2 linked regions of the Arabidopsis thaliana genome follow. The protein of the gene in region 2 interacts with the protein of the main gene of each other region in a pairwise test. Each region holds a gene or a part of one and is shown on either strand. Other genes may lie near its edges.

Region 1 (7,903 bases), on a different chromosome or scaffold from region 2:
GATGGAGACCTTTTATTATGTCGGTGTTTATGATCTTTCTTCTCGTAGTTATGAATTTTGTGAACCTCAGAGCTCAGAAGAGGAGGGATCTCAGAGACATTAGTCGGCTGGCTTCTCCATTGTCTACCACGACGTGCACCATTTGATTTATCAGATCGTCCCTTATCATATTCAGAATCCAGAGGAACAAGTGCTTTATCCTCATGACTGCTTATCAATGAGCTTTTTATGGTAGTTCCCTCCACATTAGAACTAAAGTACTCATCTACACTTTCAGCCAGATGATCCCACAACCTGCATATATCCTCCTAGTGAATATGAATTTCTAAAAAAGCAATAAACTTTGTTACACAAAGATAAGAAATATATAAATACCAGGCCACAAAAGAGTCGCTATCATCTCCAAGAAATATCTTCAATTCATTATTTGCTTCCTCTTTTCTTCTCCCATTTCTAAGCAAGACGATCACATATTCCTGCAAGCAAAAGACTTTGTTGTCATTTGAATTCTAAAGAGACTTCTTAGCACCACAATAAGAACAACTAAAGTTCAATTCCAAAACTCAGCAATTCTAGCTACAAGGAACACGAATAATAAACCCCAAAAGCGGATATTCCAATTTTCTGAAAAAGATGGAGAATCGATAAAATCGTACCACAAGAATGTCATCCGTGTAATCGCCCATATACTCCTTGAGTTTATCCTTGACCATCTCTTTCAACTTAGCAACTCCTTCCACACTGAAATCACCGTTAAAGGTCCGATCATCGACTAGATCGGCGCTTCCCATCTTCACTGAAAATTCCTTTACGAGATTATTATCAAAGACCTTAACTTGTTGCCACCGCAATGAGAGAGCCCAAGGAATCAACAAATTGGAATATATATATACACGCCACTAAAACCCTAACCTATGCACGATTCAATTCGAGAACGGATAGAATTAAGGAGCTTCAAGGTGGTGGTACTAGGGTTTGGGTTTCTGTCGGAGAAATCCAGAAAGCAGCAACCCAGACGATTGAAATCCTGATTAATGTCTAAGGGACGGAACAAATTAGATATGAAAAGCCTCTCTGAATTTCTTTTAATTATAAACGGTGCGTTTTGTGTTTCAATTTAAAACAACACATTTATATTTTCACTATTGGGTTGGGCCTAATTAGGTGCTCCAACTTTTAGTTTTTTTTTCTGACTTTTTTTTTTTCCGTCAGTTTTTTTTTTCTGACTAGAGTTATAAATAATCATAGTTGCATGAAAGTACAGTATTTTGTTGCAATTTTTAGATGACAATTGAAAATTGTCCCAATGAACTTACTTTTTTACACATTTTATTAAGTAGATATAACTATAGTCTGGCTACAATGATAGTTGCATGAAAGAACAGTATTTTGTTGGACTTTTAAGATATATGCAAGATATTTTTGTATGCGTTGAAAATAATTCACATAAAAAACTCGTAGAATGAGTAAGCTCATGTTAATATTATTAAAAGAAAACAAAAGTCTAATGTATAGTTTAATATGTTATGCTTTAAAATATACAAATCTATAAAAATAATGGAACACAAGAAGATGATAACCCATACAAACTCAAACACGTTATTGGCTTTGCTATTTTATACGCCAAGCAAACTTGTCTGATAGAAATTGGCTTTGTGAGTTGTGACGCACAATGGACTAGTAGTATCGTGATAAGTACATCTACCACACGAAACGAAACGAAACCAGAAAGACATGTTCCTAAATTACCAAACAACCCCTTCGTCTCTTACATACACCATTTCTCGATGATCAAGAAGCAAATTCATGAATCCGTAAGCCACACAATAATAATATTAATAATCATTCACTAATATATAAATTAAAAGATGAAAAAAAAACGTAAAAAAAAAAATTGAGGTTCAGATTTTGATTTGAGGAGAGGAATAATCTCTCTGATCTTCTTTTACAACACATCACCAAATCAAATCCATGTCTCTCCGACCAATCTCTCTTCCGATCGGAGCTTTTGAACCACCACAAGTTTTTCAACGGTTGAGATCGAATTTTTAATTTTTTAAACTTTGACCATTTTCGCAGCCTTGACCACCGGATTTTCTCTAGCGATCGCCTCACGACCAGCGGTTTTGTAGTCGTAGCTACAATCATGACGATCGGAGTAACGGTGCTCTGAGCAGAAAAGCTCACCGCATCGGCACCTGAATCCGGTCAACCCAACTTTCTTCCGACAACCAGAACATCGGTTTACGATCTGTTGATCTCTCTTCTTCACCGCATCGATCTCTCTTGGACGAATCACGACTTTAGCTGGTGACGAACGAAGATTGACAGATCTAGCCGATCTCTTCAAGATCGAACCTGATTCAACAACACCTGCGGCCGCCGAGACGAGAGATGCGTTGAAACATTTCTGACACATGTTGTTCGTCGCAGGATTCGCTGTAACGCCGCAGTTATTGGTACATAACGTCGTTGTTGTTGTCGTCAAGGTTTCGAGAACTTTGAACTCGGTCTCTTCCTTCTCCGTTCTCTGAGCCATCGTCTTATTGAATCTCCCTGCTCCTCCGGCGAGTTTACGGATCGATTATGAGGAGAGAGAGATAGAGAGGTAGAGAGAGGTAAGAATGGAATATGGGCCTCATAGAGAGACGCGTTTCCATCTCTCTTATCATCTCTCCTTCCACCATCCCCACTTTCTCGTCTTCTGGTGGATTTACGTTAATACCCTCATCGCTTTTTTGGAATTACCAGAGAGGATTAAATATGCATTTCAATGATTCTAGAATGGCTTATGACGCCATACAGCGGACAACAACATGTTTCTCTTTCTCACATTTTTGCTTTTTTGGGTGTATTTTCTGATTTTTCTTTGAGTATACTCTAATTTATTAGTATCATGACTTTTATAAACTGAGATATCAAAGAAGGGTGAGGAAAATCGCTGGAATATGGGCCAACTTGTTTATTTATGTTTCTCTCCCAACAAAAAAATCACCAAAGAAAAGTAATACCATAATCATATATATATCTAGAGGTGTTATTGTGTTAACTAGTTTCGAACACCTGTATGTTTATGTTTGGTTCGACTTCGGACATGTTAGATTTTTATTTTTTACTTTAGGGAAAAACAAAAAGAAAGAGATTTTGGGGGTTAAAACTGTCACACAAAAAAAACGACCTGTGAGGTTGTAAAGCTACGCGTACAACATGTCAACATGCCAATTTGCAGACTTTATTTTTTTTCCATGTTTTTGCGTTAATCAGTAGTATTTTATTTGCTCTTTGGCTTGGAGGTTGAAGCTTTAATGGTCTTATTTTCCTGACCATATTCAACAAGACAACAACCCAGAAGGTGGATTGTATTTCGCGAAATGTTTCTACTTTTTTCTTATATAGATAATGGGATGATGAATTAAAATTGAAATTAATCTCTACAGCATGTAAGAAAATTCGAATATTTTAGTCATTTGATTTTGATAAGTCAAATGAACTAACCATAATTCAACTAGCAGTGGAAAACTTCAAATTTGTTCCTTCAATCAATCGGCTGATGAATCATCAGTATCATTGGACAAAACTAGGAATTGGTGATCAGGTGATACTTTTGATATTTGCATATATTTGATTTCATTCAGATTATGGAAAATGTAAATAAAAATCTATTTATTATAGTAATATTTTAATAAAATTAGTAATCTTGAAAAATGGAGAAACGTAGCTAACTATGGGAGAAAAAGCTGCCTAAAACGTCGGGTTGTTTCTGAGGTCAATGCCTAAACAGCTAAACTCGAAAACCAAATGACAACAAAAAAGCATCAAAAAAAAAAGAAAAAAAAAAAGAGAGAAAAATAAGAGAAATCGAACCCCCAAATAAGGAATTCTGACAGAGTCGCCTGCTAGATTTGTTTTCTTTCTCTCTCGTCATCTCTCTTCCTCTCTGTAATCCCAACCGGAGTTACGATTCCTTCTTATCGTAACTCCTGCTTCCGATCTCGATCCAATTTTCACTTTTGTTTTGTCCGAACGGTAAATCATTTCGCGGCTTTTTTTTTTTAAGGTAATTGATCTCGATCCTTGAAGAAAATTCGTAATTGTATATGCGCGACAAATGTGTATTGATGCATTCGTATTGGTGTATTGTTTAGGGAAGGAGGAATAAGCAAATTTTGATTTGATTCCGTTTTTTTGGGGGTGTTAGTGATCTTTTAGATGAAGTAAAGAAATTTTGATTATTGAGGGGATTATGTGAGTTATGGTATCATCGGCAACTATATTGCGGATGGTAGCACCATGTTGGAGGCGACCTTCTGTTAAAGGAGATCATTCTACTAGAGACGCTAATGGTCGATGTGATGGTCTTCTTTGGTATAAAGATTCTGGTAACCATGTTGCTGGAGAGTTCTCTATGTCTGTTATTCAAGCTAATAATCTTCTCGAAGATCATAGCAAGCTTGAGTCTGGACCTGTTAGTATGTTTGATTCTGGTCCTCAAGCTACTTTTGTTGGTGTTTATGATGGTCATGGTGGTCCTGAAGCTGCCCGTTTCGTTAATAAACACCTCTTCGACAACATCAGGAGTACGTTGTTTCCTTCTTTTTTGTTATATTTGATATGTGTGTGTTTGGGACTATCTATGTTCTAAGTTGGTGACATTTTCTGATTGCAGAGTTTACATCAGAGAATCATGGAATGTCTGCCAATGTTATAACTAAAGCGTTTTTAGCTACGGAAGAAGATTTTCTTTCTCTTGTCCGGCGGCAGTGGCAGATTAAACCACAGATTGCTTCTGTTGGAGCTTGTTGTCTGGTAGGGATCATATGTAGTGGATTGTTGTATATTGCAAACGCTGGAGATTCTCGGGTTGTGCTAGGAAGACTGGAAAAAGCGTTTAAAATTGTCAAGGCCGTTCAGTTATCGTCTGAGCATAATGCAAGTCTTGAATCTGTGAGAGAGGAGTTGCGCTCGTTGCATCCAAATGATCCTCAGATTGTGGTCTTGAAGCACAAAGTTTGGCGTGTCAAAGGTATTATACAGGTAAAAATACTTTCACGGTAATGCGAGTTGCTGACTTCTAGACTCTTTTCTTGCAAGTAGCTTGACTGTGAAAGATACAACTAAGTAAGCCCTATGCATGTATAAGAAGAGGATTTTTCGCTAGATATAACCCGTGGCTGGTTCTTGAAGGTTTCACGGTCGATTGGTGATGCATACTTAAAGAAAGCAGAATTCAACCGGGAACCATTGTTGGCAAAGTTCAGGGTCCCTGAGGTTTTCCATAAGCCCATCCTTAGAGCAGAGCCGGCAATTACAGTACACAAAATCCATCCAGAAGATCAGTTTCTTATATTTGCATCAGACGGCTTGTGGGAGCACTTGTCCAATCAAGAAGCTGTTGACATTGTGAACACATGCCCGCGCAATGTAAGATTGCCACTTGCTCTTTCTTACTCTCTCTCGTTTTATGTGCAAATAGATAGAAAGATTGATTGAGAACATGTGGGTATGCAGGGGATTGCAAGGAAGCTCATAAAAACAGCTCTAAGAGAGGCAGCAAAGAAGAGAGAGATGAGATATTCGGATCTAAAAAAGATCGATAGAGGAGTGCGGAGACATTTTCATGATGATATAACAGTCATAGTTGTGTTTCTTGATTCACATCTCGTCAGTCGCAGTACCTCACGCCGACCTCTCCTCTCCATCTCAGGTGGTGGTGATTTAGCTGGACCTTCTACTTGACTCTACTCTCACCACATCTATATATATCTTATATATACATTATCCACTATATATAAAAACACATTGCAAAACGCAATTCAAGTTCCTTCTTTTTTTTTTTCTCTATATATAAAAATTTCCTCTTAACTCTGTTTTTTATTCATCCCAAAAAAAAATGAAGAGTTGAAATCCAATGTATAGGTCTTTTGGCAAACTGAGTTTATTATGGATAATATAAAGAGATATCACTTGTTGGAAAGATTTCTACTACTGACTACCTCCATCTACCACTTTTTGCTTATGTTGTCATTTTTAGTGTATATACAAAAACATAAGCGAATGTGTAATTGATGCAGTAGAGACCGATACTGCTACAAGTTCGTCTTTTATGTCAAAGACAAAACAACATTGCTTTTCATGGCCTAAGAATTCAAAAGATCTTGTCAGTCACAAATTAAAGTTACCTTAAATATAATTGACTACAGTTCTCAGTAAAAAAATCATCCGACTATAGTTCCAAAATATTTAGAATAGTTATCTAAAAGACCTTGAAAGATCACGAATAATTCACGCAATAGTAAATCGAAATGAAAACAAAATAATCTAATGATCCATATGTTCGCACATGCATTTCATCGAATTTGAATTCATTTGGAGATATGGCGACAAAACTAACATTTTACAAATGGATTACTGTATATTGTTGTTATGATTGAAATTATGTTTTGGTTATGAGCAAGGACATGGAAATTTTTTACTAATACTAAAATAAATAAATAAAGACAGCTCCAGGAAATGGGATCTTGACCCCTGAGCATGTGATGGGCGTTGAATCATGTCCTAACCAAGACAACGCGACTGAAAATCATAAATGCTGGAATAAGCTCTAATGATTTTGATCATAATATTATTTCTTCAACAAGATTATATGTGAATTAGTTAGAAACAAATGTTATATGTCAAATATTATAATTAAACTAATTAAATCAAATGTAAGGATTTTTAACAACGATACGTTTGGGATAAGAAATTAGGGAAGGAAAACAAAAAAATCAAAGTTTGGACTTTGGACAGAGAGATGCTTAGTTAAATGCTTCTGTAGTTCTGTAGTAGGACCACATGAGTCACATGTAAAAGTATTTATGGAGGACCAACCATATTTGGTTTATTAAATGCTGTCTCTAATAATTGGTAAATTATCAATCATAATTAGTCATACTAAGCTTTTATTGATGTGAAGTTTTGGCGTTTCAGTAAACTTGAAATCATAATCATTGCTGTAATATGGCAAAAAAAACTTAGGAAATAGCAAGTCCATGCTCCATAATCCGTGCATTATTGATCATAGAGCTATGTATAAATACGTCTAAGAATATGCATTACTTCAATGTCCATGTAAATTATCTCTTTGCATTAGTTAAATGTCCATGAAAATCAAAACATATATCCTTACCGTTGAAACAAATCAACATGATTAACTTATATATTGCCGGATCATGGTTGGATACTCGATTAATCAAATATTTTTTTAAAAAGTAAAACTGACATACACACATGATACTCATCTTTAGTACAATAGATTAAAGGGTATAAGAATACATTCGTAAGATAATATATAGAACAATAGTAGTAACATGCACATGCCCATGATACCATGCACATGCAAATGTCTCTCTCTCCTTTTCTACGTTTCTATATAATCCAAAGACTCATTACACAACACCACTCTATATCAAACATTTCTTTTAAAAATGAGAAAGTTGTTGGCATCGCCGTTTAGTTCATTACTCGCCGTCGTTTTCATTTCCGTCATCTCCGTCGTCAGATGCTGCTCTCCTAAAGATCAGACGGCTCTCAATGCTTTCAAGTCGTCACTGAGCGAACCAAACCTCGGTATCTTCAACACTTGGTCTGAAAACACTGATTGTTGCAAGGAATGGTACGGTATCAGCTGCGATCCTGATTCGGGTCGGGTCACTGATATTTCTCTCCGGGGAGAATCTGAAGACGCCATTTTCCAAAAGGCAGGCCGGTCCGGTTATATGTCCGGTTCGATTGATCCAGCAGTTTGTGACTTAACCGCACTCACTTCCCTCGTTCTCGCCGACTGGAAAGGAATCACCGGAGAGATTCCTCCGTGCATTACTTCCCTAGCTTCGCTCCGTATCCTCGATCTCGCCGGCAACAA
Region 2 (7,715 bases):
GGCAGACTGTCACTTCGGAGGCGCGTGGGTGCACGTGCGGTGGGACAACACCAGAGCCTCCGAAGTCTAGCCTGGCCATTGTAAGGCCCACTGTGTTTAGACCTGGGAGGTTGGCGGTTGTGGTCACAGTGACGTTGATCATAAACGGTTTGGTCTTAGTGTTTCCGGGTCTGGATAATGCGGATGTTGAAAAGTCAGAGACGCTGGCTTGTGTCGGATCTTTGCAAAGTTTGCCGTTGAGGAAGATTTGTTGGTGAGATGAAGGAGGAGGAGAAACGCAGTAGTCTTGGAGCGGGTCCGGGTCGGATTTAACCCGACCCATAAGAAGTGTGAGCGTTAGTAGTATGTTTAGAATCATAGAGAGCGAGAAGCAAAGCTGAGTTAGAGCTTGTAAATAATGAAATTTTAGAGTAAAAGATGTCTTAGTAAGATGCACTTAATTTATTGGACCTTATGTTTGTTTTCAACTTTCTATATATATATTTGATATTGGTTTATTGTTTAAATTCAAAATTTGGGATACTTTTTTGTTTGTGTTACAGAAGAAGCAACACAATGTTTAATTTTAATCATGTAAACCAAAAAAACAAGTTTTCATTGTGGTGGTGCCAGAATTTTAGTTTAAGCAAAAGTCATTATATATAGTAAGATATATTTTGTTAGCCGTTAAGCAAAGCAAAACAAAACTATCCTTCATGCAATGACTTTTATTGTGCTATGCTTATCTCTACTATATATTCAAAACCATGAGTTATCATATCGACAACAAGAAAAAGAAAAAAGAAAAACTAATTTTACTTGATGTTTCCTCTAAATACGAAGAAGATAATGGACATAAGATTCAAATTTTTCAAATTACTATCTAAAAAGAAAGAAGAATAAATTAAACAGCAAACTAGCCGTAGACAAAAGTAATCTACATGTTAAGAGTAAAGCAAAAAACGTGGAAACACACATGCAACAGCGATCGGACACTACAGTACCCCAAAGATGACAAAAGAAAAAGATGTGGTAGAGAGATTTATTCCCCCACATGAAGGGACAAAACGCAAACCAAGGACAATTTTTGTTAATTTATTGCAAAATTTTAAATACGCCAAACGTGAGGAGTATCGTTTGGGGATGATTTTGTTGTCGACAATAATTAATGATTTTGTTGGTTATATACATTGCATCTACAAATTTTAAAATTGATTTCGTCTTTCCAATGTGGTTGGCTCTGTCATTAGATTATTATACTAATCCAACTCTTTATATTGTATCTTTTATTATTTTTTTTATAAATAATACGAGTAAAATTCGTGTGTGAATATAGAATTTCGTTCAATGGTTGATTTAGGTTGAATTAGGTTGATTTAGAGAAAAAGAACACCTGACGTCTAAATTTGGATTACAAGCTAAAATAAAGTGAGATATAATATGTTTTATTAGATAATCGAAAGAACATCTGATTTGTTCATCAGAAAATGAATGCGAATAGCAATTGGGTCATGTCCTTAGATTGTTGCAGCGGTCTTCTCGATGATAAATAAGTTTACGACCAACCGCCTATAACAACCTCTAGTACCAATCAAACATAGATCCGAAACACACACGTTAAGCAACATATATACAAAAGTTAAAGCTATCCCAAGCTTAATTATATTGGTCGTGGTTTCTAATGTGAAGATCTTACTTGGATCCAAATGGTAAAAACACATGACCATAAAAAAAGAAACACCAAAATGGGTGCCAGAGACAAGGGATCTATAGAGACTATTTATGGAGAAATATGCCCCAAAGGAAGGGAACAAGAGTTGCCCATTTCCAGCTTTGCATTTATTCTTTCTTCCTCTTCCTTCTTTCTTCTTTTTATTTTCTTGCTTACTCTCTACACATCTACACATGCATAATGATGCATCCACTACTTCGTCGTATATTATAAGCATTTTTTTCTTGGGTTAAATATGTATATTCAAAGTTGCATTAGAGCATCGGCTTGTGCATCTCTTTTGGGAAGGATAGAATTGAACGTCATCGTTTCATCTATTCCCTTAGCTTCATTGCAAGGTTGAAAAATGGACCCAAAATTTGGTTTTAATTAACCGCCTTTTATGCATTTATATTTTTATTCTTTTTTACTATAAATTCATATGTATAAGTTTCAAATTTTATGTTTGTAACCTAAATTGTTTTCATTATCTATGAAATATTTATAATTTAGCCAAAAAAATTAGAGCATCGGCTTATAGTCATTAATAGGAGTATTTTGGGTCATAAAACTGATATATATTTATGGAACTGTTTAATGACTATAGTGGATTCAAATGTTACTAGTTGATTTGTATCTGGAAAAAAAAACCTTAGCTCTCTGATTCTTGAATTGTCAGATCTAGCTAACTTTCTGATTATAAAACCCCATATGTCTATGATATTGACTTATTTAGGACCCAATACATAAGAAAAAAACGCATATTCAAGTCTCGTTATCATAATAAATGGTGAATGTCGAAGGTTCGATTGCAATTTTCCCTTTGTTTAAAGACTAAAAAAGTTAAAAACGTAACTTTGTGCAGAAATTAAAATAATTAAAAGATATTCGAAAAGCTTTAAGGAAAAGGAAAAAAGGCCCACGTGGAGGCGCGAGAGATTAAAGGGACATCTATAAAATTTGACGGCGTCAAGTCAACGTGCAATTAAAAACACCGTCAGAGGTAAAAACGAAGTTAACGGAGATAGATAATATTACACGGCATCCCAGAATAGTTCCACTAATCTAATCCGGGACTCCTCATCTTCTGCCGTCGAATCGGCGATTCCTCCGACGACGACGTCAACACGTCATCATCTTCATCGTCTATCGGAGATGAAAGTGGCGAGGTGGAAAAGATCTCCACCGGAGATAACGGCGGAGACGAATCCGACGATTCAGTCGAAACAGTCAACGGCGGCGACGATTCAGGCGAGATAGTCAACGGAGGTGACGGTGGAGGAAGCGAAGAGTTAACGGAACTAGAATCTTCCGGAAGCTTCCGTTTGTTTCCGTTGGAAAGTTTAACGTCTTTAGTTAAATGACTTCTCAGACGTTTCACGTCGGCGAGTTTCACCGGTTTCAATAAGAAATCTTGAGCACCTTCCTCAAGGCATCTGTTCAAAAATCATTTTTTTTTTTTACAAAATTTTATCAAATCAATCAACAGTTTCTAAAAACTCCAAAATCTGTGAAGAAATCAACAAGAATCACACCTGTCGATTCTGGTCAATACATTCTCCGACGACATGATTACAACCGGAACTTCTCTGAAATTGGACGATTCCTGTTTCAGATGACCGGAAAATTCAACATTGTTACTAAAACAACCGTAATCTGAAACAGGAAAATGGCGGGAAAATGCAGACCTTAATCTTCTTGAGAAGCTCATAACCAGTCATTCCAGGCATACAGTAATCAGTGATGATCAAATCAACTTTCAATCTCTGAAAATATCCATTTAAACTAAATCAAACTCACGAATCGTAATCTTCAAAAAAAACAAAAAGCTGTATCAGATTTCAATAACTTACATCGAATTCAGCAGAAGCTTTCTCATTATCTAACCCTAGAAATTCCAGAGCACGCCATCCACTATCTACCGCCGTAACTGACAAACGATACCACCGGAGATGTAAATATTCCGGCGAGGAATAAAAAAAAGTGAAAGATGTTTTTTTTTTTGAAAAAATACGAACCTTTGCAGGAAGTAATACGAAGCAATCTCTCGATGACAATACGATCAACGAGACTGTCATCAACGGCTAAGACATGAACTTCATCTAAATCCAACGGCGCAGATTCAATTCCTCCGATACCACCGACGCTCATCATCTCCGACCTTCGTAAACAAGAAACACCACCGTCTCTGGCCATAGACGAGCTTATAGTAACTGTGAGGAGAGGATGAGAATAAAATAGAGAGAAGAAGACGAAGAAGAAGAGCTCACATCTGTTTTCTTTTGTTCCTTTCTCTTCCTTAAGACAGTTTTTTATATTTCTGATTTTTTTGTTCTCTAAAATAAATCTTTTATGAGTGTGTCTTTTTGGTTTTTTCAATTTTTATTTTGAAAAATCTCCAGCGAGGAAAATCCAACAAAATCTTTGGTTCCTATTAATGTGAAAATTATATATTTTTATGTGCCGTGCTTTTAGGGTTGAAAAAATTGAACTTTTATCTTTGAAAACAATAGTATTAATAAATAGAGATTTTATGGAAAATCCGGTGGAGGGCCTATGCGAATATCATAGAGAAAATAATATTCCTAAAATCGAATAAATAATAGAGGAGAAGAAATCCGTACAAAGGAATCCAAAAAATAAAAATATACCATCGTGAGATATATACAACTTCTTAGTCAAAATCTCGTCATTACTCATTAGTGTGATTGGAAAAAAAAAACTGAAAATGGAATCACTCACTGTTAAGAATAATAAACCAGAAGATTAAAGAAGCTAATTTTGGTCATACACCATTACAATTCATAGTAGCGTGTTTAAACTTAACCGGCTCGGTTCTTCGGATTGGTCTTATTTGTATTAAGTACTAACCACTAAGACAATTTTATATTGTTCCATGTGATTGGTCAGTTTCTAATTTAAAATTTATGGTTCAAATGCAATTCATAGAATAATATTAAGATCGGGTTTTGTGGGTTGACGAGAAAATTAGTATACGCCTAACTAGTAGTATATCCATCCATATGACTCTAGAAATTTTATGTTATCCAAACACTTTTATTTATATCGTTTTCAAATGGCAAAAAAAAAAAAAAGAAGAAGAGGAAAGTGGACAAATAATAATAAAAAAAAAGGATTTGACGTCCACATTAAAATTTGGATCCGCGGGACCCAGGGAAATCTAAAAGAGGGACCCATAAATATTTTGTTGGGAACAATTTGTATTAATGAAAGGGGGAATTGGACTTTACCTCTCTTCTTCTTTTTTTTCTTTAATCTTCCAAACATAATTTGCTGTTTCACTCTTTTAGACACCACACCGTATCAAATCTTGGAGATCGCTTTTGCTTTCTCTTTCCCACCCATTTATTATATTTTTTTATATAAAATATCATTATTATTTCTTTTTGTTGAAAGGGTAAATGTTTTGATTTTCTATTTTATTTTTAAAAATTTTATGAAAATGTTATGACAATATAGGTGTTTTTAAAAATCTCTTGATAATAAAGAGCTACTATTAAGAAAAAATAGGTATATAAACATGAGAACAATAAATATATATAATGATTCTTTGGCTCTTTATTTTTTCTAGAGAAACAAATTTATTCCAGATTGAATGTAAACTAAAGACGACCAAATCCAATACTATGACATTTTCCTACTTAAAGTTAAAGCTCAAAAGATCAGGTTTCAAGGTTGCTTAGAAGTTATCGATCACAGTCGTGGATGATCAAAGTAGAGTTTTATCAAAAGACTTTTGTTTCTTCTAATTGATAGTGTCTCTAATTTAATCGTTTTTCTACATTAACCAAAAACATCTAACAAAGTAGAAAGAAAAATGACGCGTGAAATAGACAAATCTTACAATGGATATATTGCCCATTTTTATAAAATAATTACGCGAAATTTAAGATTGATTTGAGAATTGATTTTTCAAACGATATGGGCCAACGAATGATGGATCAAATCTTCATGATGTCAACTCAAAATCGAGGGTTGAACAAAAAAATCCATAAAAGTAGTCATCAACGTGTCGCACATAAAATCGTAATCTATCTTTTTTCTAGGAACTTTGGACATCAATTACAAAATTAAAGACATTGACATTTTCCCTTTAATTAATTTTATGTTGGTACTCGATTGAGGTTTGGAGCATCTTTATATTCTAATCATTATTGTAAATATTTTCTACATAGTATAATATATTTGTAGAAATAAAAGTAATTGATTAGTTGACCTAATTATACAATACTCAAAATCATGTACACTTGAATATTTTCATTTTGACGTCTAGATTTTGTTACAGGATCAATGGATCATATAGAAACTCAATTTTAGTCTATACGTACATGGAAATATAGTTGAATCTCAAATCCGAAAATCCAGATTAATGTCAACATAAGCTCATATCTAATCTACAAAGCATTTGTTGGATAACATAGATTGGTCTTTCTCCTTCCTTGGTATCACTCTTATGTTGTCTGAGTTATATCTCCTATCCTATTGATTCTTAGACTTTTTTGTGAGCTAGTAATTATTCTCTTCCAAATTGTGCTCTCTAGCTTTATGTATCAAAAATTTCACCATCAATATGAGGCCATGTTGATCTCGATGAAAACGAAGTTACTCGTTTGTCTTAATTTAAGAAAATTGTGGGCTCTAACACCATATTGCAAAGTTTTTTTTTATTCTTAGTCGTTAATTATTATTTGCGAAGTTTATACTTCTATTTCGATGTGTTATGCTTATTATCACACACACTCATGCAAGAAATGTTTCAAAAACGTCAAGAACAAGGAGCACATAAAATTTCATAAGTTAAGATTTTTGACATAACAATCAACTAACAGATATATCTCAACAATATATGAACATGCATGCGCTAGCTCTAAAAGGGGGTTGGCAATCGGAGTAGTGAAGCTTTCTATATTTTATGCCCGAAACTGAAGATTTTAGTGAAGGCCCAATTGTGTCTGTGTTTGATCCATATTAATATTCACTAGGGTCGGACAGTTAAACCCAACCAAAGCCCTGAACACTTTTCAATCAAAATGGATATCGTAATTGTCACTTTTGAAAATATAGACTAAACAAAAATGAATATAATTTAACCAAACGAAATGTAATTTCATATACCTAAAGAAACCAGGCTTTTTAGTCCACACTATTCTCTGCGATTCAAGCCTATTTTTTTATAGAAAAAATCTCTGCAATTTGTCTAAATATAGAATTATCAAAGTCATAGATATTTTGGCTGACTTTGGAGATCTGCATCGTTCAAGAACAATAGTTTACGTACATAAACTAGGATTCTATCCTACTTTATCTGCGTCGTAATCTTTTGATCTTTTCTCGTCGATATTACATGTGTCTTTTTTTTATAATGGATATTACAAGTTATATATACTCTATAGTTGTTAGCTTATTATGCATGCTCGCTGGAATAGTTTAAGTAACAACAACCTTTGGAATAGTTTTTAAGTAACAACCATTTATTTAAGTTTAGTGGACTTTTTTTTTAATCCCTGGTCTTGGCATTCTTGGTGGGCTTCTTTTCTTTTTACATATAAACTATCAGAGTGCTCTTGGAGTCGTCTAGAAGAGAAGCAAAGGTTTTATTAATAGGGAAGGTGGGGTCCCTCTTTGGATACACTTAATTATCTTCAACATAATTAAAATGGTTAGTAAATTCAACCTGTTTTACATAAAATAAAATAATAAAATCTAGTCCTACTTAAATTTCTCAATTCATCTCTAATACAATCTACATGCATGTGCAAGTTTTTGTTTTTCACTTGCACATGTATACCCGTGTTTGGAACTCTCAATAAATCTTTTTACAAGAAGAAATCTATATATACGTAAATAACTAAATATGTTGTATACAATGTCTCTGTTATGAGAAAAATAGAATTGGTTAATTAGTATTCTTTCTATGTCTCAATGCATGTATTATTATATGTGATACGTACTTCGGTACCTGGCACAGCCCATGATCATATGATATAACTTTCCTTTAAAAGAG

The links. Proteins that work in one complex are often made in the same cells at the same time.
Region 1: the proteins of ARR4 (region 2) and AT3G12620 interact in a two-hybrid assay, tested with the Arabidopsis thaliana proteins (one large-scale study listed by BioGRID).

Annotation. Positions count from the first base shown.
Region 1 is NC_003074.8:4,007,343-4,015,245, reverse strand, and holds AT3G12620 (Protein phosphatase 2C family protein), read left to right. Parts: upstream 1-3,570; 5' UTR 3,571-4,057; exon of another isoform or gene 4,058-4,145; 5' UTR 4,146-4,252; coding exon 4,253-4,577; intron 4,578-4,666; coding exon 4,667-5,034; intron 5,035-5,184; coding exon 5,185-5,421; intron 5,422-5,508; coding exon 5,509-5,736; 3' UTR 5,737-5,976; downstream 5,977-7,903. Other genes in the region: AT3G12640 (RNA binding (RRM/RBD/RNP motifs) family protein), read right to left, coding at 1-294, 376-476, 657-791; SAP5 (A20/AN1-like zinc finger family protein), read right to left, coding at 2,057-2,539; DRT100 (Leucine-rich repeat (LRR) family protein), read left to right, coding at 7,467-7,903.
Region 2 is NC_003070.9:3,439,874-3,447,588, forward strand, and holds ARR4 (response regulator 4), read right to left. Parts: upstream 4,488-7,715; 5' UTR 3,887-4,487; coding exon 3,709-3,886; intron 3,621-3,708; coding exon 3,544-3,620; intron 3,457-3,543; coding exon 3,379-3,456; coding exon of another isoform or gene 3,297-3,378; coding exon 3,226-3,296; intron 3,127-3,225; coding exon 2,751-3,126; 3' UTR 2,115-2,750; downstream 1-2,114. Other genes in the region: GLP7 (germin-like protein 7), read right to left, coding at 1-358.